Linked DNA regions of Ovis aries. The protein of the gene in region 3 interacts with the protein of the main gene of each other region in a pairwise test. Links are inferred from orthologs where the notes say so. Each region holds a gene or a part of one and is shown on either strand. Other genes may lie near its edges. The genes, in order: PPP1R16B, QRICH1 and CRX.

Evidence for each region.
Region 1: the proteins of CRX (region 3) and PPP1R16B interact in binary tests that used the Homo sapiens proteins (3 or more experiments, as listed by UniProt). The two-hybrid records come from large-scale screens. The link is inferred for Ovis aries from reciprocal best matches to the Homo sapiens genes CRX and PPP1R16B.
Region 2: the proteins of CRX (region 3) and QRICH1 interact in binary tests that used the Homo sapiens proteins (3 or more experiments, as listed by UniProt). The two-hybrid records come from large-scale screens. The link is inferred for Ovis aries from reciprocal best matches to the Homo sapiens genes CRX and QRICH1.

What each region holds. Positions count from the first base shown.
Region 1 is NC_056066.1:67,710,714-67,720,707, forward strand, and holds part of PPP1R16B (protein phosphatase 1 regulatory inhibitor subunit 16B), read left to right. Parts: intron 1-2,326; coding exon 2,327-2,452; intron 2,453-2,991; coding exon 2,992-3,067; intron 3,068-3,682; coding exon 3,683-3,812; intron 3,813-3,904; coding exon 3,905-4,073; intron 4,074-7,898; coding exon 7,899-8,408; 3' UTR 8,409-9,994. UniProt on the Homo sapiens protein: Regulator of protein phosphatase 1 (PP1) that acts as a positive regulator of pulmonary endothelial cell (EC) barrier function. Involved in the regulation of the PI3K/AKT signaling pathway, angiogenesis and endothelial cell proliferation.
Region 2 is NC_056072.1:50,998,618-51,007,577, reverse strand, and holds part of QRICH1 (transcriptional regulator QRICH1), read right to left. Parts: intron 8,820-8,960; coding exon 8,665-8,819; intron 7,519-8,664; coding exon 7,404-7,518; intron 2,535-7,403; coding exon 2,426-2,534; intron 2,070-2,425; coding exon 1,918-2,069; intron 1,597-1,917; coding exon 1,506-1,596; intron 97-1,505; coding exon 1-96. UniProt on the Homo sapiens protein: Transcriptional regulator that acts as a mediator of the integrated stress response (ISR) through transcriptional control of protein homeostasis under conditions of ER stress.
Region 3 is NC_056067.1:54,469,962-54,480,714, reverse strand, and holds CRX (cone-rod homeobox protein), read right to left. Parts: upstream 6,528-10,753; 5' UTR 6,489-6,527; coding exon 6,389-6,488; intron 5,659-6,388; coding exon 5,507-5,658; intron 3,723-5,506; coding exon 3,075-3,722; downstream 1-3,074. UniProt on the Homo sapiens protein: Transcription factor that binds and transactivates the sequence 5'-TAATC[CA]-3' which is found upstream of several photoreceptor-specific genes, including the opsin genes.

The DNA.
Region 1 (9,994 bases), on a different chromosome or scaffold from region 3:
ATCCATCCATTGGTCCGCCCATCCATTCATTGGTCCACCCATCCATCCATTGGTTCACCCATCCACCCTGTCAACATACACATCCTCTGTCCCACATACTTTACTAGACATTAGAGATAGAGAATGATGGAATCTTCTCTCTCTCTATCTGCCTCATTAGCTTCACTCACTGTTTCAATTCAAATGTCAGTGAAACCTTCTTGATCTTTCTTCATAGGCCTTCATAGCATGATACAGCTCAGTATTGGGGAAGTCTGCTTCTGCAGCCTCTAAACTGAGAACTAGAACATGGCCTTGGAAGCCCCCCTCAACCTTGCCCATGGCTGGGCCCATCCTGTTCTAGGCTTGGGGTCCATGTGATTGTGAGCACTCAGGGTCTCAGAATCTTCAGCTTTTCAGGTAGGGCTCAGCAGTACCAAGTTCCCTCACTGCCCCTCAGGCCTGACCTGGTAGCCCAGATGTGATCATTGGACTTCTCCCATCCCGTTCCTGAGTCCCACCCTCTGTCTCATCCCCCTTTCTTTTTTTTTAAAATAAGACTTCTAAAATTGATTATTGGTTTATTTCAGTGACATATAGTTGCTTTATAATATACTAGTTTCAGGTATATGACACAGTGATTCAATATTTTTTATAGATTATACTCCATTAAAAATTATTACAAGATAATGGCTATATTTTCTTGTGCTGTACAACATACTTTGCTTATTTGTTTTAGTAGTTTGTGCCTCTCAGTCCTCTACCCCCATCTTTCCCCTCCCCCTTCCCTCTCTCTGTTAGTGAGTCTGTTTCTGTTTTGTTACATACATTCGTTTGTTTTTTAAATTCACATGTAAGTGATAACACAGAGCATTTGTCTTTGTCTTCTTTCATGAAACATAAGGCCCTCTTGGTCCACATGTGTTGCTGCAAATGCCATTATGTCATCCTTTTATATGGCTGAGTAGTATTCCATTGCCTGTATATACCATACCTTCTTTATCCATTCATCTGTTGACAGACACTCAGGTTGCTTCCATATCTTGACAATTGTAAATGATGCTGCTATGAACACTGGGGTGCCTGTATCTTTTTGAATTAGTGTTTTCATTTTCTTTGGATATATATCCAGCAGTGGAAGTAGTTCTCTTTTTTAGGTTTTTGTGCCTCCTGCTCTTTTCTAAGGAAGGGGTCCCTGCTCAGCCCAGCACTCAAGAGTTGAGTCAGGTAGTTGGATTGAACGCTGCATGAAGACTGGACGAAGTTTTGGCCAGGCTGTGCCAGGACACTGCCCGCCCTGGATGGGGCTCCGTTGGGTCTGTGGCTCAGCCCTGTAGACACAGGGGTCTGCTCCTCTTGGGCTGGCCTCAGAGCGGCTTCACTCACATGGCTGGGCACACACTAGGTCTCAGTTCTTCCCAGTGAAGCAGGGAGGCGTACCTTCCCCAGGGGGCTGTTGGGAGGACTAAATGAGATTCTGCATGTAGCTGCTCAGCACAGAGCCTGTAAACTCTCAATAGATTCTGGTGATTAACTCATTATTATTATTAACATGATCACTTCTATTTATATAATAAATAGCAAGGTCCTACTGTGTAGCACAGAGAACTATATTCAATGTAATTATAGTTGTAATCCTCTGTAATGGGAAAGGAAATCTGGGAAAAAATATATGCAGGTGAATAACTGAATTGCTTTGCTATATACCTGAAACATTGTAAATCAACTATACTTTAGTAAAACAAAAAATCAAAAAACCCACCAATATCACTCTCCCAGTCATAACTTTTTATTCCCAGCTATGTATGTGGCCCTACAGTTTTTAATGTCTGGCTGGCTGTGTGTCATTCTTAATAGCTGGCAAGCATCAAACATTTATAAATCAGATAGTGATACCAGTTTTCATGTGTGCCTGTTCCAGATCATACCCTGTTTTTTTTTTTTCTTTCTGAAAATTAAAAAAAAGAAAAAAACCCAAAACCTCTGTTTGCCAGAAACTTATAGCAACCTGACCCCCGGATGACGCGGCATCTGGCCATTAGGGCTGTGTTCTGTTGGACCTCTGAGACCCCATCTACAGGGCTCAGTGCATAGTAAGCACTCAGTAAATGCTGATGCCTTAACGACAGGGGCTTGAAGACGGAAGAGAAGCCCCTTCTCCCTTACCTTCCTTTTCCATACTGCAGACTTACTAATGCTCTGTCACGTGGCTGGTATCTTCACCTCCTTCTATTCCATTCTACGGCCCTAAATATGATCTGGGCCTTGAGCCGGGGAATGGGCTCTCCTGCTTCCAAATGAGGGACCAGCCCCCGTGGGGAGTGCTGACCCCTTTCCTCTCCTTCAGCTGCACATAGCTGGAGCCAACGGATACCTGCGGGCAGCCGAGCTCCTCCTGGACCATGGTGTACGCGTGGATGTGAAGGACTGGGATGGCTGGGAGCCCCTGCATGCGGCTGCCTTCTGGGGACAGGTAGTTGTCACCCACAGTGCTGTAAGAGAGGCCAGCTTATGGCCAACCTGCTGACCTTTGGGCTGGGAGTTGGTTCAGAACACCCGACCCATTTAGGGTGTTGACTACAGCTAGCGTGTAGGATGTGAAAAGACCTACGGAGTTTACAAAAAGGATTGTCAAGTTGTGTCCTAACAAGATGACAATCCAATTTGCCAAATTAGAAAATTTCCCACATTTCTGTCTTGAGTTTTTCCACTTGTTTCCCAGATAGAAATCTCTGTAGCTTTCGCCATTCCTCTTTAAACACTTGACAGCTCTGGAGTTATAGCTGACTCCTTCTGTCCCTCGGTATGGCTGAGTCATGCTGGAGGAGGTGTCAAGCCTATTGCATTTGCCGGAGTTCCCGGCTTTAGGGAGCAGAGCCTTCCCTGGGAGTCAGCTTTGCCCTACCATTCTTTGGATCACATCCTAAGAAGCTTTGAACTCTCACTCTCTCCGACTCCTAGGCTTTCTCAGCTGTGGGCAGGGGGGAACCCGGGCTTCTTCCTGTGTTTCAGATGCAGATGGCAGAGCTGTTGGTGTCCCATGGGGCCAGTCTCAGTGCTAGGACATCCATGGATGAGATGCCAATTGGTAAGTTCAGAAGGACCACGCCTGCACTCATTGATTTTTTTGATGAGTGGAGGATAAATGGTTGAATATATGGTTGGATAGATGGTAGATGGATAGTTTGATGAATAAATTAATGGGTGGTAGATTAATGGATGGATAACTGGGTAAATGTATGGATGAATGAATTAAGAGGATGGGTGGGCAGAGGATGAATCTATGGATGACTGGTTCAGCGAATAGGTAGACAGATGAACTAAAGGATGAGAGGGACTGAGTGGGTGGGGATATATGATTTCAGGCTCTTTTCATAATGTCTTGCTTGGGCTCTGTGGGGTACCTTCTGGTTTCTCTTGATATATTTTCTATCAGTGGAGAATTGATGACTCCTCTTGGAAGCGATCAAAGGTGTATGAATCCTTCAGTCATATCTGTGAATTGGGACTGTGCATGGGACCTGGGGTTTCCTCTTCTTACACTCCTCTAAGGATTGGGTTGTAGCCCAGGAAATAAGGCTGGCACTGCTTTCTTCCCTCCAACCACACCCCAGAAGATGTGAATTTTCAGTGGGTCTGGGGGGCCCTCGGGGATCACCAGCCCCTTCTCTGCCCCCTACCATGGACTCCTCCACCCTTTCAGACCTGTGTGAAGAGGAGGAGTTCAAAGTCCTGCTGTTGGAGCTGAAACACAAGCATGATGTGATCATGAAGTCGCAGCTGAGGCATAAATCATCTTTGAGCAGGAGGACGTCCAGCGCGGGCAGCCGAGGGTGAGCTGGGGGCGGGACAGCCAGGGGCGCCCAAGGATGCTCCTGCCCATGGAGCCTGGAAGCAGCCTCCCAGTACCCCCCTCTCCCCTTAGGAAGGTGGTACGTCGAGCCAGCCTGTCCGACAGGACCAACCTGTACAGGAAGGAGTATGAGGGAGAGGCTATACTCTGGCAGCAGCGGAGTGCATCCGAGGATCAGCGGAACTCCACCTACAACGGGGACATCAGGGAGACCAGGACAGACCAAGAGAATAAGGACCCGGTGAGAGCTTGCCTCCCACCCAGCCCCAGTGAGCACTGCCGTGGGAGGGGAACGGCTGGAACCCCAGCCTGGCGTTGCTTCTTTATTTCAGAGCCTTCGGAGGGAGGTCAGCTGGCCATCGCCCTTAAACCAGCTGGGTCCTGTCTGAGGGGGTGCCTACCATGGTTATTGAGGCAAGTGTAGGACGTGTTCACGTCAGAGCTGGGTGATTGGCACACAGTAGGGGCTCATAACTGCCAGGGAGTGAGTGATCACCATGTGCCTGCTTGAGCTCCAGCAGAAGAGAGATTTTATTCTGGCTTCCCAGAGGAAAAGGTTCAGTAGGGCGGCCACTCTGGGAGAGAAGGGTGTTAAAACTTTTTTAGGGGAAACCTAACAAGATGTTGAGAATTGTGTTGAGATATCGGGTTGGAAGAAAATTTTTGAAAAATATAGGGGCTGGCTATAGAACGTCTAAGAAGCTGGCTCTAGGAGTAGATAATGATCTGGGCATTAAACCGCTTTCCTAAGATGCTGTATTGTTTTCTGAGAACTGTTGTAATGAATTACCGCAAACTAGGTGGCTTGAAGCGAGAGAAATGTCTTTTCTCCCAGTTCTGGAAACCAGAAGTCTAAAACTCAAGTTGTCTACAGGCTTGGTTCCTTCTGGATATCGGAAGGGGCCTCTGTTCCATGCCTGTCTCCTAGCTTCTGACATCTTGGGCATTCCTTGGCTTTTTGCTATCGTGCCTCCAATCTCTGCCTCTGTCTCCATGTGGCCTTCATTGTGTACGGGTCTGTCTCTATTTTCTCTTAGAAAGACACCAGTCATTGGATTAGGGCCCACCCTCGTCCAGTGTGACCTCATCTTAATGTAACTGATTACACGTGTGAAGACTCTACTTCCAAATAGGGTCACACTCAGAGATGTGGGGTGGATGTGAGTTTCGGGGGGACACTATTTGACTCAGTACAGATGCATTCAGGCCCGTGCCTGGCTGCAGTCTTGCTGAGTAGAATATGCAAGTTTGGGGCCAGAGCAGAACTACTGGGCACAAGAAGGAAGGGGCTGACCATACCAGCAGTGGTGTACCTTTGTGGTTCTACCATCACACAAAGAGCAGCTGAAAACATTTCTAGTTCCTGTTGCTTGGGGGGATGCAAAATGTCTCAGTGGGACCCTGCTTCCCTGTGTGAACAAGGAGGTCATGTGAGGGCTTGTCTTGCCGGCAGGAGTGAAGGCATCTGCTCTAAAGAATCTCCATTGTGAGAGGAGTTTGGAGGAGAATAGATCCATGTATATGTCTAGCTGAGTTCCTTTGCCGCCCACCTGAAACTGTCACAATATTGTTAATCAACTATACTCCAATATAAAATAAAAAGAGTAAAAACAAAAAGAGGGACTTACCTGGTGGTCCAAGGGCTAAGACTCCTTGCTCCCAGTGCAAGGGACCTGGGTTTGATCCCTGATCAGGGGATAAACCACAGCTAAAGACCCAGCGCAGCCAAATAAATGTTAAAAAGAAAAAAGATTCGATGCCAAGTGGTTTTTTTTAAAAGAGAGAATCCCCACTGAAACGCCGATTGGGATGGAGCCCGCACACTCGGAGCTTTTGTTCTGCCCCTGCCCACCTAAGCTTGGGGGTTAGGAAAGAAGAGCTGTAGATTGGAATCAAATCCCATTTCAGATGCTTCCCCGATATGCTTTAATTCTCTTTTCTTTGTGATTGAGGTGTAGCTTCTATAACCTACAGAAATCTTAAACGAATTTGTCAATGACCTCTTTCCAATGAGTACACGCATTTCTGTCACCCCAGAAAGCTCCTACGTTCCCTTTTCCAGGCAGCCCTTCTACCCCACAGATATGAGTGTGTGCTTAGTCACTTCAGTCGTGTTCAACTCTTTGGGACCCCATGGACTGTACAGCTCTCCAGGCTCCTCTGTCCGTGGGGATTCTTCAGGCAAGAATACTGGAGTGGGTTGCCATGCCCTCCTCTAGGGGATCTTCCCAACACAAGGTTTGAACCCAGATCTCCCGCATTGCAGGCAGATTCTTTACTGTCTGAGTCACCAGGGAAGCCCAGCTCAACCTGGTGCTCTGTGATAATCTAGAGGGGTAGGATGGGGGGTAGGGTGGGAGGGAATTTCAAGGGGGTGGGGCTATATGCATACCTATGGCTGATTCATGTTGATGTCTGGCAGAAACCAACCCAACATAGTAAAGCAATTATCCTCCAATTAAAAGAGAAATGCAGGTTCTCAGGCCCCACACGAGATAGACTGAATCATAAACCCTGGGGCTGGGACTCAGCACTCTGTGTTTTAACCAGCCCTCCAGAGGATTCAGATGCATGCAAGAATTTGAGAACCACTGATCTAAGGGTGTGTTTGCTCAGCCTGACTCCCAAGTCAGATTTCTGACAGAACTCTGCACTGATAGCCCCCAGGGCTGGCTGTGGTACCCACTTTTGGCAGAGCTGACTCCCTGATAGCAGGCACAGCCGTGATAAGACAACCCTGTCTCTTCAACCAGTGGTTCATGATCTAAATTGTACAAGAAAATCACCTTGGGGAGGTGTTTTGTTTTTGTTTTTAAAAAACTTGATGTCCGGACTATAATCTCAGTTAATTAAATCAGTCTCCAGGCTTCGGACTCAGGCATTGTATTTGTTCATTTATTTATTTATTAACAAATAGGCTTTATTTTTTTGGTTTATTTCTAGGTTTACAGAAAAATAAGTGGGGGGACTTCCCTGGGGTCCAGTGTTTTAGCTCTGTGCTTCCACTGCAGGGGGCAGGGACTGGGGGACTAAGATCCCACGTGCTGTCCTGTGGCCAAAAAAAGTTTTTTGTGTGTCTTTTGACCTTGTTTATAGTGATTTTTGGTATGCTTTATATTTTTGTTACTGTCAATGTATCCACCTTTTCCTTAGAGTTTCTAGGTAGCACCTCCTTTTAAAGCTCTTGTTACCCAGGGATTTCTGGGTGTAAAAGATCTCTGAGTAAGAACCTCTCCCATTTGGAGAAGAGCTATCCCAGGAATATAGGGAGAGGATTCTCAGTGACCAAAAAGCCCAACTAAGATTGACTTACAGACGCAAAAAGAATGCACTGGCTTGGTTAACTGGAAAGTCTGGGCCAACTGGATGCGGGGGCTCAGAACATATCATCAGGGGACTTCCCTGGCAGTCCAGTGGTTCAGCCTTCACCTTCCAATGCAGCGGGTCTGGGTTAAATCCCTGGTCAGGAAGATAAGATCCCGCATGCCTCGAGGACAAAAATCTAAAACATAGAAACAGAAGCAATGTTGTAATAAATGCAGTAGAGACTTTTAAAATGGTCCACATAAAAAAAAATCTTTAAAAAAGAAAACGTATCACGAGGGTGCAGTGTCTCTGTCTCATGCTCTCTCTTCCTTAATGTTGGTTTCACAGCCAAGCAGACCTTTTAACGCACTGTCTCCCCAGTTTATGATTCTCACCCCTGCAGTTCCTATAGAAACAGAGCTGCTCTTCCCCAGTTTTTCTAGTTTTTCTAGTAAGTCCCAGGGTTGAGTTTCATGGAACCAATTTCTGAACCCATTCCTGAACCAATTCCAATAGTGAGTTTATTGATTGGCCAGGTCCTGGGGTTATGGTTTATCTCCTGGAGCAAAGATGGGAGTCAGTTGGGTCTGTCAAAACCCACAACTGGTGAGACTCCCCAAAGGAAAACGGAGGTCTTATTACCCAGGTAGGGAAAATGGAAGAGGATGGTTTCAAGCAATCATGCCCTCAGTAGAGGCGCAAGCAGGGTTGGGGTTCAGATCCCCCAGCCGGCTGATGATGATGTCCTTCTCGCCCTCAGAACCCCAGGCTGGAGAAGCCCGTGCTGCTCTCCGAGTTTCCCACCAAGATCCCACGCAGCGACATGGACGTGCCTGTTGAGAATGGCCTCCGGGCTCCGGTCAGCACCTACCAGTATGCGCTGTCCAACGGGGACGTCTGGAAAGTGCACGAGGTGCCCGACTACAGCATGGCCTATGGCAACCCTGGCGTGGCCGATGCCACCCCGTCCTGGAGTGGCTACAAGGAACAGAGCCCCCAGACGCTTCTGGAGCTGAAGAGGCAGCGGGCTGCGGCCAAGCTGCTCAGCCATCCCTTCCTGAGCACCCACCTGGGCAGCGGCATGTCCAGGACGGGCGAGGGCAGCAGTGAAGGCAAGGCCCCCTTGATTGGAGGCAGAACTTCTCCGTACAGTAGCAACGGGACCTCGGTGTATTACACGGTCACCAGTGGAGACCCCCCACTCCTGAAGTTCAAGGCCCCCATAGAGGAGATGGAGGAGAAGGTCCATGGCTGCTGCCGCATCTCCTAGTCTCTGTGGGATGGAGGAGAGAGATGCGCGGGGAGAGGGACCCTGGAGTCCAGGCCAGCCCAGCAGCCCTGGCTGGGGGCGGGCAGCTGGGGCGGGAAGGGGGAGCTGGGCTCTGCGTTCCAGAGGAACTCAGAACCCACCTCTCAGCCAGCTGCCCATAGCATCACCACTTCCCATGGTTCTGCTTCTTGCCGCATTGTCTGCCATCAAAAACAAGGCCCCTCGTGGCTTCCTGTCTCATCCTGCTGTCAGATTTTGGGAGGGCGAGTTGGGATTCTAGTTCTGCTGTTGGTCAAGGCTTCTCTGGACCAGTACTCACACGTCACATATCAACACACAGACACACACACTCACACTCAGTCAACATGTGCAGGGATGACACAGCTGGGCTCATGGGAAGCAGGTGGGACTGAAAATTTGTGAGCTCTTCCTAAGAGGACTAAGGTTAAGATTCAGTTTTATCACCACTGCCAACGTGGCTTTAGCAGGGGAGGGAGCCTGCTAACCTGAGACCCGTCATCTTGCCTGGAGTCCTACAACAACTTGGTATTGTCATCTCCATCTGGTGGGAGCAGGAGGTCTTCTATGTTTAGAGGGAGCTATGGTAAAGAATCTGCCTGCGATGCAGGAGATGGGGGTTCGATCCCAGGGTTCAAAAGATTCCCCAGAGAAGGGAATGGCAACCCACTCCAGTATTCTTGCCTGGAGAATTCCATGGACAGAGGAGCCTGGTGGGCTGCAGTTCATGGGGTTGCAAAAAGTCAGACACAACTGAGCAACCAACACTTTCACTCTGATGCACCCACAGTGGGTGGATGAGGTGGGTGTAGACCTGCCCCCCACATCCTTGCCCATGCCCAGAGCCAGCTATGTAAGCACCCAGGGGCCAAGGTGGAACACCAGGTAATTCTGCGCCTGGAGTAATCCAAATCTATTTTGCTCTTGGACGGAAGCTTCAAAATGTGACAAGGAGAGGGAACAAAGGTAGCATTTTTAAAAGTGTGTTGGATAAAATAATTCTTTTAGACTGTAAAACTCCAGGTTGCGGAGGGGGATCGCTGAATTAGCTTTCTTTCACAGACAGTATCATGATGACTAGGTTGTACTGACTGGTATTGAAAAAAAGGGAAGCTAAGGGAGAAGCTTCAGTTGGAAGGGCTTTTCCAGGGAGAGAGTGAGTTCATGTTTTTAATTTTTGCAGACATCTCTGTTCAGCATAACAGAGCCCAGTGCCCTGGCCGAGCTTTGTGACTGGTCAGATGGTTTCAGTCCAGCCTGTCTTCCCCAGTCCTCCTCAGACTGAACTATCAGACTGAGCACTGAGGGGCTGCTGTGGCCCCCACCTCTCCCAGAGTGAATGTTCAGGACTCCCGGCCCAGCTTTGCTCTTTTAGGGATGCCCGGTGATGTGGGTTTGCAGGTTGGCTCTTGTGAGCTCCTGTCTGGCCCAGGGGCTGCTATCCTGCTCTGGCCCAAGCCTGCGGATCTGAGGTGCCCATCTGTGTTCCAGCATCACGCACTGCATTCAAGTGGTGGTGCTGGAGTTGGGTCTTGCGCCAGCTTTACAGTTTCATGGCCCCCAATCTT
Region 2 (8,960 bases), on a different chromosome or scaffold from region 3:
ATAGGCTGGACTGAGTACCAGATCGGGCTGTTGGGGGCCACCACCGGCTCGGGCGTCAGGTAAAAGGTGTCATTCCGGCCTTTCACACTCTGGGGGCTGGAGAATATATGGGTAAAAAGCTGGGTAAAAGCGTCATAATCTCAACCTTCCCACCTTGAACCTCCTGGACAGATGCTACCTACAAAAGATGGGAAGTTCTGGAAAGAATGGTGGCTCCACTGTAACCCCTAAGCTCCATGCAGCCAGGGCACACTACCTCTAAGATGTCCCTACTTTCTGCTCTCCACTTCGCACGCTGAGTCCTCTGATTAGGCCTCCCCTGGCTCAGCTACTCGAGTCCAGCCGTATCCCACGCTGAACCAGTTCCACCACCTATCTATCTCCAAGTCTTTGCTTATGCTGTTTCTTCTACCCCACCCATTGGTAATTTCTCAACTTCATTTGCCTGACTTCTCCGCTTGCTGTGATGCTGCGGCCTCTACCTGCACTCACGCCCACCCTCAATGTTGTGCTGTACTTCTCTAAGTACTTATCATATGCCATCCTCTAACAGTTATTCATCCACTGATTCAAAGTTTATCAAAGGGCTACTGTGTGCCAGGCCTGCACTAGGTGCTGATACTAAAAGAAGTGAATAAGACCCAAGAGTCCCTCTATAATGAACCTCACAGGTAAGAGGGGAGACAAACAGCAGTCAAAACAGTTACATAAAGACAAAATAACAAAAGCACTGGAAAGGGCTACAGAATAAACAGCCAGAGGGAACAGGCAGGGAATCTGGAAATCCTTCTCTGATAAAGTTCTTTTAGGAAGAATGGTTAGGATGAATAGGAGCTAAATGACCAAACACGTGGGGGTGGCAGCATAGGTCTTGAGGAAGGGAGAGTAAGATACCCTTTAGTAGAGAAAAGCAGTGTAACTAGAGAGCCAAGAGCTATGAGAACAAGAGGTTAGCAAGGGAGCGTGCTTGAAAGGCCCTGTTGGTAATTAGGGCAGTAATTACTGTCTTTCTTTGTAGAATAAAAGGAAACCACTGAAGGTTTTCATCTAAGTAACAAAGTAAGACCTACCATGTTGAAAGATCTGCTGGCAGTGTTGTGAGGATGATATGCCCAACTGCAGAAGCAAGAGAGAGCAAAAGCCAAGGAGAGGATCTCCCCTAGACCTACGGTGTAGTGACCAAAGGTCAAGACCAGGAAAACACAGTGCTATACGCTCTATATGTGACAGAGGCGGCCTCTCTGTACCTTCCTCCCTTGACCTTCACCCCCTCTCCATCAAAGTGCACCATCAGGGAGGAGCCCTGGGCACATGCTTTGGGAAAACCAGTAAGTGTGCTTCTATATTTAGCCTTTTGGAAATCTGCTTTTACTTAGCCTGGGGAACTGAGAATGCTTCTGTGAGCACGCGTGCCACGCACACACCCACGCGCAGATACACACATGCACACACACACAGGCGCGCAGATACCCACACCCACACCCCTAGTCACACAGCCTCCTCACCATTTAAAGAGGTAGAAATCGTAGAGCTTGATTGGGCATCTCAGTGGGTTCTCTGGATTTTCCGTCTGCTCTGCATACATGTCATCTGTAACTATAAAACATACCCCCCACCACAGACACGGCATCAGACTGCCTTTACTTAGGCTCAGATTAGGAACCTCAGGCTTTCAGCCATCCCAACTAGGAAAGAAAAGGGTATGAGGCATGAGCGGTGAATATGAAAGGAAAAGGCAGCTATCATTTCTGGGGCATCTCTGCTTCTAGAAGAGTTTGAAATCAGCGACTAGGGAGAAGGGAAGGGAGCATTCCTATCCGCAAATCCCCATCCTCACACTTGTCACTAGCCCCCCAGGCATGAAGGCTGGGCAGAACTAGTAGCACCTCTTTCTGCAACCCCTGCCTCCTTCCCTACCTTTCTGGCCAGTCTGGTGTATCCCAAGTGCCTTCAGGTACCGAATACTCGTGCTTTTATCCTTGGGATTAGAGGGGTTCTTCTTTGTCTGTCGTAAGACCTTGGAGAAGGCCAGCTTCATGTGCTGGTCCACTGTCTTCAACAGGAAGTATCTGCACCACAAGCGAAAGCAAGGCAAAGGGAGGGGTGCCAGGAGGAGACCATGACTTACCCTCCGCCATCGCTGCTTCAGAGGAGCCGCTGCCCACACTCCCAGAATCTGGGCAGGCCCACACCCAAATACACTGTCCAGTGGAGGAGTTTCATAAAGACTAATGGGAGGGACCTGGCAAGGCTGTCTGCCTTACTGGTCGCCACACAAAATGTAGCCAAGTGGGGTGGAGGGCTTCACTAGCCCAAAGGCTCTCAAGCATGTCAAAGGATCTCAGAAGTCCATCTGGATAGTTTCTACCCTCTTCACTGGGCGGATCCCAGCAGTGGCTAAGCATGGAGCCTCTGGAACACTTACTTGGTGTTAAAGAACATGAGGGTGGTCAGCAGTGTGGAAGGGGAGTGAGCCCCGAGCTGCTTGCACTCCCACAGCATCTCCTCAGTCACGTGGCTGGGCAGGACATAGCCTAGGAGGAATAGAGTACTGCTACAACAAGAGGATGGCAGGATGGGAGGCATGAGGCACAGCAAGCACTACATGGGAGTACAAGTTTCACTGGAGAAGGCTTCCTGGGATATAGCAGAATCATCTGGAAAGCTTATTAAAACACAAACAGCTGAGTCCCAACCCAAGGTTCTGGGGGAGGACCCGAAAATGTGTGTTTTCAACAAGTTCCTAACACTACACTTTGAGAACCCCGGCCCTCCATTATCGCTCTCACTGGATGTTAATTCTTCCTCTAATCCCAGGTTAATATCAGGTAAAAGGACATCCCTCAGAGAGCTTGCAACACCCCAAAGTATAAATCAACCTCTGCACATATGCAAACTTCTCTGAAAAGAGCATACAGAGCTTTCATCATAGCTTCCAAGGTGTCTAGACCAGGGCCCAGAGAACTGGTATACATGCCCCTGTTTGTCTTTGTTAAACCTCTATGTCATCCATTCTCATCCCCCTCTGGAAATAGAGGAGAATGATATTCAGATCCCTGATAGCTTTCCCCCACAGGGTAGGTTTTACTTTCAGGAGCTAACTGAAAGCTGGACAGGGACAAAGGCAGTGGTTTCATCAAGAGCTCTGGACACACAGGTCTATACCAAAGATAACACAAGTTGATCACCAAGCCCCCATCATGTGTTCATAAAACAGTCAATACCCAAGTGTGTATGTACCGGGCACTGAGGACATGGTGAAATAGCAGCAAACACCAGCATTCTCCTACAGGAGTTTCAGGATTCTCCAGGCAGGAAGCAAGGGTGGCACTTTCTAGAAGCAGGGGAAAACATTTTCTGCCCAATACATTCCTTTTCTCTGGTCTTGACAAAGCTGGCCCTCTGATTTCATTAGTACTCTTCCACCTCTTTAGGGCTTGTCTGCCTCTGCTCTTTTATTCTGTGGCCCAATGGCAATAAGATAAACTTCCTCGCTGCTGCTGTTTAGTCATGAAGTCGTGTCCGACTCTGCGACCCCAAGGACTGTAGCCCACCAGGCTCCTCGGTGCATGGGATCTCCCAGGCAAGAATACTGGAGAGGACTGCCACTTCCTTCTCCAGGGGATCTTCCTTAGTCTCAGACAAATCTTAAGCAGGATGAGTGACAGAAGATGCTCTCCTTGGGGAAGGCTAGCCCTAGGAATGGTCCAGGCATACATTTAGGATTGCTCTATTTTCTCTGGGTTCTCTCTGCCACCTTGTCACTTCCCTACCTTTAATCACTTCTTAACAGCGCAACTTAAAGTGAACTGCAGTATCTGAAAATCAGAACTCCTAGCGTGGGCAACAGGAGTTACACATAGAAACAACATATAAAAGCCTCATAGTTCTGAATCTGAACTGTGAAGTATCAAAATGTTCTATTTTATATTTATTTTTGTAGTTCTGCCTAGAAACTATGACCAACCCAAGAAGCAATGAACATCCCTACCACCCAGATGGTGGTAATGAAATACCATTTAACACTGAAAGGAACCAGCCTCCATGGAGAGCTGATTGAGTCTACACTGGGAGACAGAAAATGGCCAGGATAAGCCTGGAACATTTTTGGTGAACCAGAAATCAAGGAAGTAGGGTCATGCCAAACAGACTTAAGAGCCAATTTAAACAGGCTCCATATGGCTAGACAGAACAATTTGTACACCATTAAAGATACTAAGTACAATGAACTGAATCATTAAATATGTTTAAATTAACTTGCTCACAATGATTCTTTAAACAAACAAACAAAAGAAACCCCAGCTGAAGCTGGTAAACCAACTCATTACTGTCAAAGCTGCTAAACAAAGGAGAAGAAATAAGCCCTCATCCTGCTTCTTTTATATAATCTCTACTGCTAGGAAATCAAAGAGCTGATGAGGGAAATTTTCTCTTTGTATTTCAGCTAATAAAGAAGTAATAACATCAGAATGCCAATGCTTGCAACTCCTAATGAACTAACGGATCCAGACATCATGGGCACCCACCTATGATGTAACCCTGCCAAGAAGAAAACACACAGAAAAACCAAAACCCGATTTAGCAAGTCTTTATATGCAACTACCAATAAACTGTAAATACAGGGGACAGAAGAGTATGTTAAATTACAGCATGGAGATATTAATAGCAAAAATTAGACTGTAATAATTTAAAAGCCTCATTTCTTCCATAAATAAACTGCAAGAAAAATACGTTTATTTTTGAATTTAATTAAAAGTTACTTAAATTAAGATTAAACATTAAAAGATATCTATGCAATTTCAATGTGTGGACCTTATTTGCACCTTGACTCAACCAAAAAAAAGTGACATTTATGGGACAACTGGAAATGTGAAAAAGGGCAGATTTTGATGACATTGTGACTATTCTTTTTCTAAAAAAGTAAAATAATGGCATTGTGTTACATCAATTTTATGCTAAAATATTTATGGATACAGTGTCTAGGACTTACCTCAAAATGATACGGGAGGGATAAACAGATAACGTATAAATGGAACGAGATTTGCCATGGGTATGTGGGAATGCCATTATTCTGTTCTGCTTATTTTTATATGTGCTTGAAATTTCCTTAACAAAACTTTAAAAAAAGCCAATTTTATACAGCCACACTTGGTCTGAAAATCCGCAAATCATGTACAGAAATTCACTTACTCAGGTGTTTGTTCTAATGATATCTCCTTAGAGACGCTTCCTTCCTAACACCCTTAACACTTTCCATTCTCTGTGCTTTGTCCTTCGAAGTACTTAATTATCATAAATTAACTTGATTATTTATACAGTCTCCCCATATTAGACTGTAAACTTCCATTTTTTCACTACTGAATTGTATAATCTACACTTGGAACTGCCTGGCACACAGTAGGCACTCAAAAGGCATTTGTTTAAATGATACTTTAACACTTAAGCAGTAATCACGATGACAGATGATAACTAGACTAAATCCTTTCACAGTATACACCAACTGTATCAAGTCACTGTTCTACACCTGAAACTGCTACGCCAATTTTATCTCAGTCAGTATACATTTCATTAAATGGCAGAGCCAGGATTAGAACTCAGATATTTGTGTGGACATAAGTTTTTACGTCATCTGGGTAAAGAAGAAGAAGCATGACTGGTGCATCCTAAGGTAACATGTTTGGGAATTCAGCCGTTCTAACAGGCATATAATGTTATATCACTGTATCCATGTATGCATGCACATATGTATCAATATTTATGCAAGCCACTTGCTGAATCTCAGTTCCCCGACCAGAGACTGAACCCAGGCCACAGCAGTGAAAGCATCGAAACCTAACCATCAGGCCACCAGGGAACTCCCATCACTGCTGTTTTAATTTACAACTGACTGATGATATATATCTTTTCATATACTTATCTGCCACCTTCTTTGGTGAATCATGTGTTCAGATTAAAAAACAGGTAAAGGTTCTTTCTTTGTTATTGTTGACTGTTAAAAGTTCTTTATAAATTTTGGATATCAGCCCTTTGTCTGGTATGTGTTTTGTCAAGATTTCCTCCCAGTTTGTGGCTTGTCTTTCATTCTCTTAATAATGCCTTTCAGAGAGCATAAGTTTTTGCTTTTTAATTTTTAATAAAGTCCAACTTACCAATTTTTTTCCTTTCATACATTATTCTTTTTATGTTGTACCTAGAAAGTTACCACCAGACCTAACGTCACCTAGAGTTTCTATTTTACCTTCTAGGAGTTTTATAGTTTTACATTTGGGTCTATGATTCTTTTTTTTTTTTTTTCAATGTGTGGTTGTCCAGCTGTTCCAGCAGTGTTACTTGAAAAGACCATCCTGGGAATTTCCTGGAGGTTCAGTGGTTAGGACTCGACACTTTCACTACATGGCCCGGGTTGAATCCCTGGTCAGGGAACTAAGATCCCATGAGCCGCAGAGTAAAGCCAAAAAACAGAGAAAAAGAAAAAAGGACTATCCTTTCTCCATTTAACTGCCTTTGCCCCTTAGTCAAAGATAAATTCATTACACTCATGGGGCTTTACTTCTGGACTCTATACTCTGTCCCATGGATCTGTCTGTTCTTTCACCAAAGACCTGCACACAGTGTTTACAGCTGCTTTATTTATAAACTGCCAAAACATGGAAGCAACCAAAATGTCCTTTAATTGGTGAACAGATAAACAAACTGTGGCACATTCATAAAATGGACTACTACTCAGCAATAAAAAGAAATGAGCTATCAAGCCATGAAAAGACATGCAGGAACATTAAACGTATATTGCTAAGTGAAAGAAATTAATACTAAAGTATTCTAACTATATGACATTCTGAATAAGGCAAAACTATGGAGACAGTAAAACAGATCAGAGGTTGCCAGAGATTCAGGGGGATAAAGGGAGGGACGAATTAAGTGGAACCCTGGGGATCTGAGGGCAGCAAAACTTGTATGTGATACTGAATTGTAGGTACATATTATACACTGTCAAAAGCCACAAAATATACAACAGAACTCTAATGTAAACTACAGACTTAAGTTAACAACAAGGTATCAAATACTGGCTCCTCGATGTTAACAAATATACTACACTAATACAAGATACTAATAACAGGGGAGACACAGTGTGATGGAATACATGGAATTCCTTGTATATTCCACTTAGTTTTCCTGTAAACCTAAAACTGCTCTTAAAGAATATATTATTTTAAAAAATTATAATAAACAGCTCTGGTGAGCCATGCCCCTCCATACTGAGCCAAGCAGCACAGAGACCGACGCTGGGGCCTGCGATTTACAGCCTCCTCACCCACATGCTATTATCACAGCAAGCCACACAAGCAGCTTATCTTTTTTAAACCCAGGTTCAAAAGACATCCAAGGACTAGGAAGATTCTTACCAAGTGGAGTGACTCGGGGCTGAACGTCCTTCAGAACTTCATGCAGCCACTCCGTGAATCGAACATAATAAAGATCGGAGAAAATGTCATCAACCCGTCCGTTCTCAAAAAGATACTAAAAGGAAAATAATCAATAAAAGCTGTTGGTAGACTCTTGACAAGATGCTGAGGGAAGCAAACAATTACGAGCAGTACCCTCACATCTCCCTACCCGTTCGTCCCCCATTAACCAACCAGCACACTGAGTCAAAACCGCCCAGTGCGCGGCACTTCCACAGCATACTTCAGGATGGGAACTAACTCTCACAACACTCTTGAGAGTTGGCCAATGGAGCAGATTTCATGAATGCTACTTCACCCAAGCAAGGCACTGTCTTATGGTAGCAAAAAAGCATGATGCAGGCTCCAGGGCCAGTCTCTTACCAGCTACGGTGTAAGTTATGTAACTCATTTGAGTCTTGTAACTTTGGGGGCTCAGTGTCCTTGTGTGTAACTGGAGATGACTATGCCTGCCTTGCATGAGTGAGAGAGCATGGAATGAGACAAAGCACATACACTAATTCACCCAGTGCTCCCAGTGACTGCTAAAACAGACTAACAAAATGGGAGATGGGTTTTTCTCGGGCCCAAGCAACAGGGTGAGTCCCAGTCAGCAAGTGTTCTTCCATCACACCACGGGCTTCTCTACAATAGCATTCAAACACCAGGAAATCCCCATCTGGTCTCTGAAACTGCTGGTCCTAAAATGAATCTCCCTGTTCATCTTCATCTTAGATATCCTGAAAACCTAACTACAGTTGTATATTTTAGCTAGACTCTTTCAAATAATTATTTTGCATTAATGCAGGAAACAATGAGAAAATGAACTATATGTCAGCACCAGACTGTTCTGGAAAAATTGCTTTTCTGAAAACTAGATGTTTACTTTAACAAAAAGTGTTACATAAATGTTTCATAATTTTTTTTAAAAAGTCTCTAATGTAATATATCATATATTTTAACAAACATTTCTCTAGATTGAGGGATTATTTTATTATCTGATTTTCTAAAGTGAACATGTAGATCTTTTCCAATTTAAAAATAAAATGTACATTTAAAAACATTTCCAACTTTTAAAAAATGTACATTTAAAACCTCATTATATAGTTGGAAGAGAGTATCTTTACTGTTACCACTTTTGACATATTACTAATTTGACTACGCAGCAAATACCCAATGGGAACACAAGGCAAACAGGTTCCTACGCAGCTCGGTTCCCTACCTTTTGAATACACAGGAAAATGTAGTACAGCACATCTGGGTCATAGGGGTCACCTTCTCCATTTCGAGCTTCCCGTGTCATCAGACAGAGCCCATAATTCAACTCAGCCACAGCAGAGGAGATGAGATCTTCCTGGAATCGTAGCAACTGACGCCCTACAACATAAGTCCCAAAGGTCAGTGAGGGTCCTGGCAACAGTCATTTCCTTACTGGTTTCTCATATCCCTGGAAGGAGGTTACAGAGCAGACACCACCACCCATCAAGGCGCTGGGGTGAAAACAATCACTTGAATCTG
Region 3 (10,753 bases):
GGGGGCAGAAACTGAAGTTGGGAGGAACGGATTGCCCAAGGTGATAGGACCAGACTTGGCTGAGCCAGGCTCAAACAGCAAGTCTGTCTGACCTCATTAGTTCTGTGTTAAATACACAGACACATTTTAACCCAGGATCCAGCGAACGAGAGGGGCATTAGAGAGATTGATGACCTGGAGTTGGAGCAACACAAAGGCAAAGGCTAAGGATAAGAGAAGAAGAGGAAAGAAAGAACAAGATAAAAGCCAGCAGAAAGAAATGCGGACCTTGGAGTCTGAGATTTGACAGTCAAGAAGGAAAAGGGGGGTGCGGAAAAAAGAGGGAGAAAAGACAAGAGACAGAAGAGATATGGTGGGAAAGTGAAAGTGACCAGAACCGGAGAAGGGATGGAAGGGAAGGTGGCGAGGATGGAAGGCGGAAGGGGAGGCGTGAGATGAAGCTGCAGAGGCTGGAGCCTGATGGGGAGGGCTCCAAGAATCCTTCTTCCTTCGAGAGCCAACTGCTAAGCACCTCCCAGCACACCACTCCCTTCCCAAGCTACTTTAATCCTCATGTGGACCACTGAGGCAGGAAGCAAGGTCACCAGCCCCTTGCAGCGAGGGGTCATAGCAGGTGGAAGCTGGCCGAATGAAGCCCATATTCCTGCCTAATTGGCTTTACAGAGATGTCACAGAAAAGACAGTGAGCAGAGAAACCACATGGACACACCCATGCCCCCAGAGACAGACGTTTTTACCTCCAGGCCCCTCCACGGAAACAAACAATCACCCAGACTTTAAGCAGGATCCAACGTTTTAATCATTTTCACTCCACAGATGGCCAGCGAAGGGAGACCTGGAGCTCCAGTGAGTGGGCAAGGGGAGGACAGGGGACTTGACATAGAAGGAGGGGGACCTCTTGTTCTGTCCCCACTTCCTCTGACACTCTTCCTGGCTTTAGGAATCCCTAAGGGACAGCTGAAGAACCAGGCTTCAGGAGACTGACCCAGGAGAAGGAACCTGGAATCTCCTGAAAGATCTGACTCCTTCCTCTGTCCAACTCCTAGAGAACTCTCAGAAGACCCCAGGAAGTTGCGGGGCGGGGGGACACTCTTAAAGTCTTACTCTTAAAGTCTTACTTGGCCTGTGTCTCTGGCCCCCCTCCCAGAGTCTATTACTGCCTCTGAATCATTTGCATAAGACACTCCGTCCTCTGTGAATGGAAAACTTGGTGAGGCAGTTCAGTTCAGTTCAGTTCAGTGAGAGACTCTACTCACACCTGAGACCCCAGCCTCCAGCAAAGAGTGTGGGAGCCTCTGCAAAATGCCTAATGGGCACTTGCATCCTGGTCCCAGCGTTTACACAGATCCAGAGCACAATGCCATCTCCTACCTGCCCCTCCCTGGCAAATTTTTGCCTGGATCGGTGGATTGACATCCATCCCGTATGTCAATATATGTTGTCTTTCTCTGTTTAGATATTGCTTCCCACCGTGGATGCTGGGTCTAATGTCCCAGCATGACTCAGACCCAGGAGAGACACCTTTGGGGGCTCTAGTGATCTCAGGGTGCCGCTCATGGTTCCTCCTGACCTGGCATCATCTGATGCCACCCAGTCTCACTTTGCATCATGCCCCTCCTCCTGACCTTGCTTTCCGCCCTGGGGGCCTGGAGCCAGCTTGTCCTGGCTAGTGAGCACAGACTGTGAGTGTCTCTTCCTAAGTTCAGGGACCTCAGCCTGATGCCTTGACATCAGCCACAGTGGGAGTATTTACACCACAGAAATGGGTAACAATGACAAACCAGGATTTCCTCTTCCTTCCAGAGCCTGTTGTTAAACACCTCCCAGCATACCACTTCTCTCCCACACTACTTTCTTTCACCCCTGGCCTTGTGAAACCCACCAGTGAGTGGCTCGTGGCTCCTGCCTCCCCCACCCCAAAATAAAAGAACTCAGATTGAGAAAGTAGGTGTCAAAGTACCAAACTTCCAAGAGTGTTGGAATGCCTGCATCCTTCTTCAGATTCTTACACTGCTTGTCTCTGCGGCCATGGGTCAGACTGTATTCAAAGAAATACAGCGTTGCCCCCGGAAAATTTCCCAGGCCAGTCTCTATGTACAGTCCAACCCCACAATCGAAACTGAAAACAAAACCTCTAAAAGCGGGAGTGTGAGTGTGGGATGTGGGGCTGCCCCCAAATCTATTTCTTTTGCCCCACCCCTGCCTCTTATATATTTACAGGTGGGAAGCCTGTCCAACCTCTTCTTCTCTTGGAAATAGCCACAATCATAGCTGGTGTACCCCAAGCAGCAACCGAGATTCTTCCAGTGTTTGGGTGAAGTTCACCTTTTAAAAAACGCTAAAACGAAAGAAAACGAAGGAGACGTGAAACAGGCAACTTGCCTTCCATTCTCCCACCAGATATGCCCATTTCCAGTGTCATGAATAAGCGAACGATGAAGTGGCTTTAAGAAGAAACTAACAACAAGTAGAAAGTGTGTGTGTGTGTGTGTGTGTGTGTGTGTGTGTGTGTGTGTGTGTGTGTGTAGCCCCCTAAACCTATCATGCAGACCTGACATCTGCGAAATCTGGAAAACTGCCAAATGAATTTCTGAACTTAACAGTATAGCTGGCCTAAAGGTTCCATCCTGGGGCTCCGTAAAGTCTGTCTTTGGGATTTCTAGAAGGATCTCTACCCATGAGCTAAAGAAGTGTCCCCAAATGGAAAGTTAAGGAATCAAGCCTCCCGACCTGTTTGTTCAACAGCACTGTGATTTTCTGACCTAAACACGACCCCAGGTCAACTGCAAGGTTGGTTTAATTTCATCTCAGGGCGGATTCTCAGCACCAGTTTCTGGAGTCTGGGGCTCATGGTTTGAAATGCCGGTTGGACTCCGTATGAGACCACCTTGGGGTTGAGAGGATGACTAACACCTATCGAGCTCCCCAGGAGGAAAGGGGTGGACTGTGTTGGTCACGGGAGCCAAAGAGGCCACGACCTTCGGAGGGACTCCTGCCACCTCCCCCGGGATGCTGTCCCAGGGCAGGTCGGGACAATGTGCAGAAGGGACAAGAGATGGAGAGAGGAGGGTCTTCTACAAGATCTGAAACTTCCAGGCACTCTGATCCTTGTAGTCCAGGGGGTCCATGGGGTTGTAGGTGAATTTCCAGGTGCCTGTGGGGTCCTTGAATTCTAAGCTGTCCACAGGGCTGTAGGTGCCATAGCTCTGGCCTGACAGGGAGGTGGGGGACTGGGTCAGGGAGGGCCCCACGGAGGGGCCTGAAAGGGGGCTGAGGGCCGGGCCCCCCAATGGGGGCACCATGGGAGACAGGTAGGGGTCCAGGCCACTGAAATAGGAGCTCGGCGACCCATAGGCTGAGGGAGAAGAGCAGAAAGCAGAGGCGGGGGCGTAGGTCATGGCGTAGGGCGCTGAGGTCAGAGAGGGGCCCGAGGCCACTAGCCCTGCCCGCTGCGCCTCGGGCAAAGGGGACTCGGAGGCCGGACTCCAAATGGACACCGTGGCCACTGCCGTGGTGGGGGAGCTCGAGGGCCCAGGCAGAGGGGGGCTGTAGGAATCTGAGATGCCCAGGGGGTCTGGACAGACATCCGTGGAGGACCTTGGAGATGTGCCTGCCTTCCTCTTGGCAGGACGAGCCTTGGCTTGTGCCCCTGGGGGCTGCTGCTGCTGTTTCTGCTGCTGCCGCTGCTGCCGACATTTAGCCCGGCGGTTCTTGAACCAAACCTGGGGGGCGAGAGGGGAGATGAGGGAGGGAGAGTGGGCAGGAGGCCCAGGGGAGCCTTCGTGATGCCCAGGAGTGGTGATGCCTATCGGTGAAGCATGCCAGAGTCATAACTCTCTACTTTGCAATCGGCTGTGGGGCACTCAGGGGGCTTCCCAGGGGGCTCAGGGGTGAAGAATCCGCCTGCCAAGGCAGGAAACGTGAGTTTAATTCCTGGGTCGGGAAGATTCCCTAGAGAAGGAAATGGCAACCCACTCCAGCATTCTTGCCTGGGAAATCCCTTGGACAGAGGAGCCTGGTGGGCTACAGTCCATGGGGTCACAGAGAGTCAGACACGACTGAGCAGCTACACAGCAACATGGGGCACTCTATTCATCCACCACCCACCCAACTATTTATCTACACGATTGTACAGCCACACATACACCATCATATACAATGCACACGATTGTACATGCATACATTTGCGGGCACACACATGGTCACACACATATATCCACATTCTTCCAGCCAATCATATGTACATACCTACTATCATGTAACATACAAATATACTCCTATACATTCATCTGTCCACCGAATCATTCATATATGCATGCAGACATACAGTCATACCTACGCACATTCACCAGCCAATCATAAGCACACACATAACAGTCATGCCTAAGCACAGTTGTAAGTATATACACACAATAATGGGCTTCCCTGGGGGCTCGGATGATAAGGAATCTGCCCGCAATGCAGAAGACCCGGCTTTGGTCAAGGGAATGGCTACCCACTCCAGTGTTCTTGCCTGGAGAATTCCATGGACAGAGGAGCCTGGTGGGCTACAGTCAGTGGGATCGCAGAGTCCGACATGATTGAGAGGCTGACACTTTCACCTCACATACAATGATACATACTTTCATCTTTCCGATCTTATGTACATATGTACACACATTATCATACAAACACATACACATCCATATATACAATCATATATGCATCATACATATATACAATCAAACACACATATACATTTACCCATCCATGCATCCATCCATCCATCCATCCGTTCAGTTATTTAATAAACATGTATTCTTCTACTCCTTTGGGGACACACCAATGAAGCTGACATTCTACTTGAGAGAATGAAAGAAAGAAAGTTGCTCAGTCGTGTCTGACTCTTTGCAACCCCATGGACTGTAGCCTACCAGGCTCTTTCGTCCATGGGATTTTCCAGGCAAGAATACTGGAGTGGGTGGTCATTTCCTTCTCCAAGGGATCTTCCCGACCCAGGGATTGAACCTGGGTCTCCCGCATTGTAGGCAGACGCTTTACTATCTGAGCCACCAGGGAAGTCTTGAGAGAGACAGCATATAAATAAATAGTAAGGAAGGAAATCACATAGAATTTTAGAAAGTGATAAATGCTATGGGAGGACCAATTGAGCAGAGTGAGGGGGAGTAGCAGAGTTGGGATGGCGGGAAAAAGCTGCAGCTTCTAATGCCAAGGGCGGTGGAGGTCTCATTGACTGGCAAGGTGACTAGATTGGTTGATAAACAAAGACTTGAACAGGGTGTAGGGAATATATCTTCCGGGTAGAGGGAACAAAGAGTGTTCTTGGTGGGAATGCTGAAGGAAGGACTGGGGCAGTGCTCATGGAGTAGAATGAGAGGGGATAGGCATGCCAGATAGGAAGCCAGCGAAATTACGGGGATGAGAGATTAACAGGACACTTCAGCCCTTCCTCTGTGACCTCTCCCTCTTTCCTCCGCTCTGGATCCCAGGGACCAGAACACCCCACCTGAACCCTGGACTCAGGCAGGTTGATCTTCAGAGCCACCTCCTCACGGGCATACACATCCGGGTACTGAGTCTTGGCAAACAGGGCTTCCAGCTCTTCCAGCTGGCTTCGCGTGAAGGTGGTCCGTTCCCGCCGTTGCTTTCTCGGGGCGCCTGGGGTGAGGACAGAAAAACAGGACTGCTGGGTGACCTGAGACCCCATTCTCTGCATCTGCTGACGCAAGGTCCTGAGAAGGCATGGGATGCTAACAAGCCTCTTCTGGGCGTTCATCTGCCCAAACTAAGGGGGTGCTGATTCCCTCAACTTCTAGACCTCACTCTGTCCCCCTGGGAAACGGGTTCTCCCTTTGCGTATCCTTAGGGGGGACTCTTGCCTCGCCCCGAGGAGAACTGGCTTTACCTGTGTAAGGAGGTATCTGAGTTTGGTTTTCATCCCCTTTCTAAAATTCCTTCTGCACTAAGACATTCACTTGAAACATGACATTTGGGATATCCAGCCGTTTGGGGATATCCAGCCTATAAAAGAGGCAGGACCGTAATGGTCAACTTAACAAAAGGATAATACCATCAAAAATAGAACGCTTCCTTCGCTAAGAAATAAAGCATCGCTGACAGATGGGAATTCCTCTGGGTCCCCCTTCCAGATGGTTTCCCTCCCTCACCCGAAAGGGAACCACTGTCCTAAATTTCTATGAAGATCCACACGCTCTCCTGCATCCCTAAGAGATGTGGGGTGTGCTTTGCATTTACAGATGAGCCCGTTTGGCTGGTGTATGGCCCTGATGTCATCCTTGTAAGTACCCATCCGCTTCCTGAGGGCAAGGGACTCCAGAAGGTGGGGGCCAGCAGGGGGTGGGGGGGCAGGGAGGATGACTGTACTCACTTGGGTAGGACACAGCTGGGTGCATCAGATCCACACTGGGGCCACTCAGGGCCAAGGCGTTGACGGAATAGTGGGGCCCCGGGTTCATATACGCCATCATGATCTTCGGGGATGCTGGGGCCCAGGTCAGGGGGCCTGCGAGAAAAGGATGGGTGCTCACAAACTCCCCAGTTCATCACCGCCTCAGTCTCTTCCTAGATATGTGACCTTGGGCAACTTATCCCCCCAGTCTGTGCCTGGGTTTCCTCACCTATAAAACAGCCCTCTGCTTAAGGTCGTCAAAGCATCACTGGGACTCTATAAAGCCAAGATCAAAAGCTGTAAGGAGCATTCTAAATGTAAGCTCCTATTCCTACTCTATCCTTTAAAAGATCTTCTGACCAACTCCCTTGTCCAAGACCTTTCCCCCACCCCGTGTGTTAGCGTCAGTCACTCAGTCGTGTCCGGCTCTTTGCAACACGTGGACTGTAGCCCTCCAGGCTCCTCTGTCCATGGGATTGTCCAGGCAAGAACACTAGAGCGGGTTGCCGTGGCCTTCTCCAGGAGATCTTCCCAACCCCTAGGACCTCAAAAAAGATGTTCAGCCTCACACAGAATCATGGCAAAGTAGGGAAACTGGTTGTCTCAGTCTGCCGGGGATAGAGAGCTTTCTAGGGGTATGGGATTTCAGTGACAAATCTGAAAACTCCCAGACAAATCAGGATGGTTAGTGACCCCAAGGGAGTCACAGTCAAATGACAGCAAGTAATGATCTCCCATGACTATTTTTGACCCCATCAAGTTGGCAAAGATCAAAGAGGCTTGGTAACTCCAGGGATGGCCTCAGAACAGGCTACTTGTGTCAGACGGGCGACAGTGTGGATGGAACAAACTGCAAACATTTATCAAAGAAAAATGCCGTCTTTCCTTGGTCCCAGCAATTCACCTTCAAGGTGCCTCAGCCACCTCATCAGAAGATGGGAACCAACAATACAGCTTACATCTTTAGGTCGATGTGAGGGTCAAATGAATTATTGTGCATCTGATACTTAAAATAGCACCTGACTCGCAGCAAATGCTACAAACCTGTGGTGGTTATTATTATCTGCAAGCAGACGTTTGCACAGACTTTATGCTCGGATACTTCTTATTGGAGTATAGTTCACTTACAATGTCGTGTTAGTTTCTGGTACGCAGCAAAGTGATTCAGTTCTGTATTTCTTTAACGTTAGTTTTCACTACAGGTTATTACCAGAGCGTGAATAGAGTTCCCTGCGCCATACAGTAGGTCTTTGCTGTTTCTCTCCTTTATATATCATAGTGCGTTTCTGTCAATCCCAAACTCCTAATTTACCCCTCCCCACCCAAGCTAGGATTTTTAATGCAGCATATTTATAATTGCCGCAATGTGGAAGCACCCTATACATCCACCAAAGGAGACATAGTAAGTAAGTTATGGAATTTAAGTAAGTTATGTTACGATTATGGCACATCCGGGCAAGAGAGTACTATAAAGTCATTAAAAACTATAATTCTCTGTGAATGGACTTGAAGCGACCTCTAGCATATAGTTAAGGAAAGCTTATCCTGGGACTTCCCTGGTGGTCCAGTGGTTAAGAATCCACCTTCCGATGCAGGGGATGTGGGTTCGATCCCTGGTCGGGGAACTAAGATCCCACATGCTGTGGGGCAAGGCAGCCTGAGCCCGTCAGCTACTGAGCCCACGTGCTCTGGAGCCAGTGGGCTGCAACTAAAACCCAGCACAGCCGAATAAATAAATTTTTAAAAAAGATTACCCTAAACTTAGCAATGAGACAAATGGTCGACAGCAAGTCACTTCCTGGTTATCTAGACAACCAAGCCAAGCATTAGTTCCTTTTCTAGGGGACTGGACCCTTGTTCAACTGATTCTTCACTATTGACTAGGATCCGGACACTGACAAGTTCAATGGCAACTTTCAGATGTTTGGTTGGCCATGATTTGTCTCTGGTTAGAAAAGATAACCGCAGGGTTACAGTTTTGCTGCCTGTAGAACTTGGACTGGTTTTGTACCTAACCTAACCAGCTCTTTTCAGCACACCTTTTCTGAGTAACAGTATTAACCTCTCTTCCTTGAATTCTCCTTGGAAACAGCCAGTTCAAGACTTAAATCTTTGTTTTTGGCTTATTACATGTGCCTAAGAGTCAGGTTTTTAATTTTTTTATTACATTTTGGAAATACGGGGGGGGGGGGGGGGGTTGTCTGTGTGTTAGATATCATATTTTACCAAGTTATGGGCTTCCCTGGTGACTCAGCGGTGAAAGAATCAGCCGGCTAATGCAGGAGACACAGGTTCAACCCCTGGGTGGGGAAGATCCCCTGGAGGAGGAAATGGCAGCCCACTCCAGTAATCTTGCCTAGAGAATCCCATGGACAGAGGAGCCTGGCGGGCTACGGTCCATGGGGTTGCAGAGAGTAGGACACGACTGAAGCAACTGAGCGCAGCATATGTACATACATTTACGCATTCCTGTTGCATAGAACATTCCCAAGGACACAATATACGGAAACAGTGGCTGCCTCCGAGGAGCTGTGTTGTATCCATATCTTGTTTCACAGCTTGGGTTACTTTTTAACCACGTGTGTGTAAATTGCCCTTTCAACAACAAAACCAACAATACCAGCTATTTAAAACAGAGAGAGACATTCTCCAGGGCTCCCTATCGCCCTAGTTAAGATGACCTCAGGAGACCTCTCAGCCTCTCCAGAAACTTCCAATAACTGTTCTGGGCTAGGAATGCCTCTCTCTCAGCCCCAAACCCCCTCTCACCAGCGAACTAACCCCTTCTCCTCCTCCAGGACACAGCTCAAACATAATTTCCCAGGAGAGCCAGCCCACACCCTAAACAGGATGTCACACACACACACACACACACACACACGCTTTCTCCTGATCTTCAGGAATCACACGTACTAAATACGACATATTTATAAATATGTTTGCCTGTCTGTCTCCCCTGATCCAGCTACCTGAGGATGGAGACTAGGAACATTTTAGTCCCTGGGGTGTCCCCAGCATCCCCAATAAATATTTGCAAAATAAATAAACGCTTACAGTTGGATAGTGTTTATGTGAGCGCCCACCTCATCCTTCTCTCACTGCCCTGTCCTTCTCAACCCTCATTTGCGAGAGTTTCATTTATCATAAATTGAAGCTCTGCTATCCACTCAGCAAATATTTTCTGAAAATAAATCATGCTGTAAGGTCTAGGGAGACAATAAGAAATAAGACACACAGCATCTCTGCTCTCACGGAATTGAAATTTGAGGTTCTGATCAGGGAAACAAACATTGAACAAGGAAATAGGCTTTTCTTAAGAAACTCAAAATGCTTCCAGAGAGTTTCAAGAACTCCAAGGAAAATTAAATGGGGTAGTAAGAAATTAAAAGATGCTTGCTCCTTGGAAGGAAAGCTATGACAAATCCAGATGGCGTATTCAAAAGCAGAGACATCACTTTGCCAACAAAGGTCCACGTAGTCAAAGCTATGGTTTTTCTGGCAGTCATGTACAGATGTGAGAGTTTGGGCCATAAAGAAGGCTGATTTGCTTTCAAACTGTGTTGCTAGAGAAGATTCTTGAGAGTCCCTTGGACAGCAAGGAGATCAAATGAGTCAGTTCTAAAGGGAATCAACCCTGAATATTCATTGAAAGAGCTAATGCTGAAGCTGAAGCTCCCATACTTTGGCCACCTGGTGAGAAGAATCAACTCATTGGAAAAAACCCCAATGCTGGGAAAGATTGAAGGCAGGAGGAGAAAGGGAAGACAGAGGATGAGATGGTTGGATGGCATCACCAACCGTCATGAGTTTGAGCAAGCTCCGTGAGATGGTGAAGGACAGGGAAGCCTGGCGTGCTGCAGTCCATGGGGCCACAAAGAATCAGACACGACTTAGTGATTGAACAACGAACAACAAAATAAGAGAGTGATGGGGTTTGAGGCGAGGGTGAGATTTAGGAGATCTCCTGATTTAGGAGATCTCCTGATTTAGGAGAATGATCAGGGAAGTCAGATGTCAATCAAGGCTGCCGTCACTTGAAGGCTTGACTGAGGCTGCTCAGTCAGATTCCTTGAGGTTCATTCCTATGGGTGTTAGCAGGAGGCTTCAGTTCTTGCCACACAGACCTCACCACAGGACTGCTCAAGCATGCTCTGGGGAAGCATGATCAGGGAAGACCTCTCTCTAAGGAGGCGACTTTGGGGCTGCAAAATGAAGGACTCTGCACCCGCTGTGAGAGGATCTTGGGCCAGAGGTCTCTAGGCGGAGGGAGCAGCAGGTGCAAAGGGCTGGAGGCTGGAATCGTTTCATCTCGTGGGAGGAGAACCAAGGTGTCCAGCGCTACTG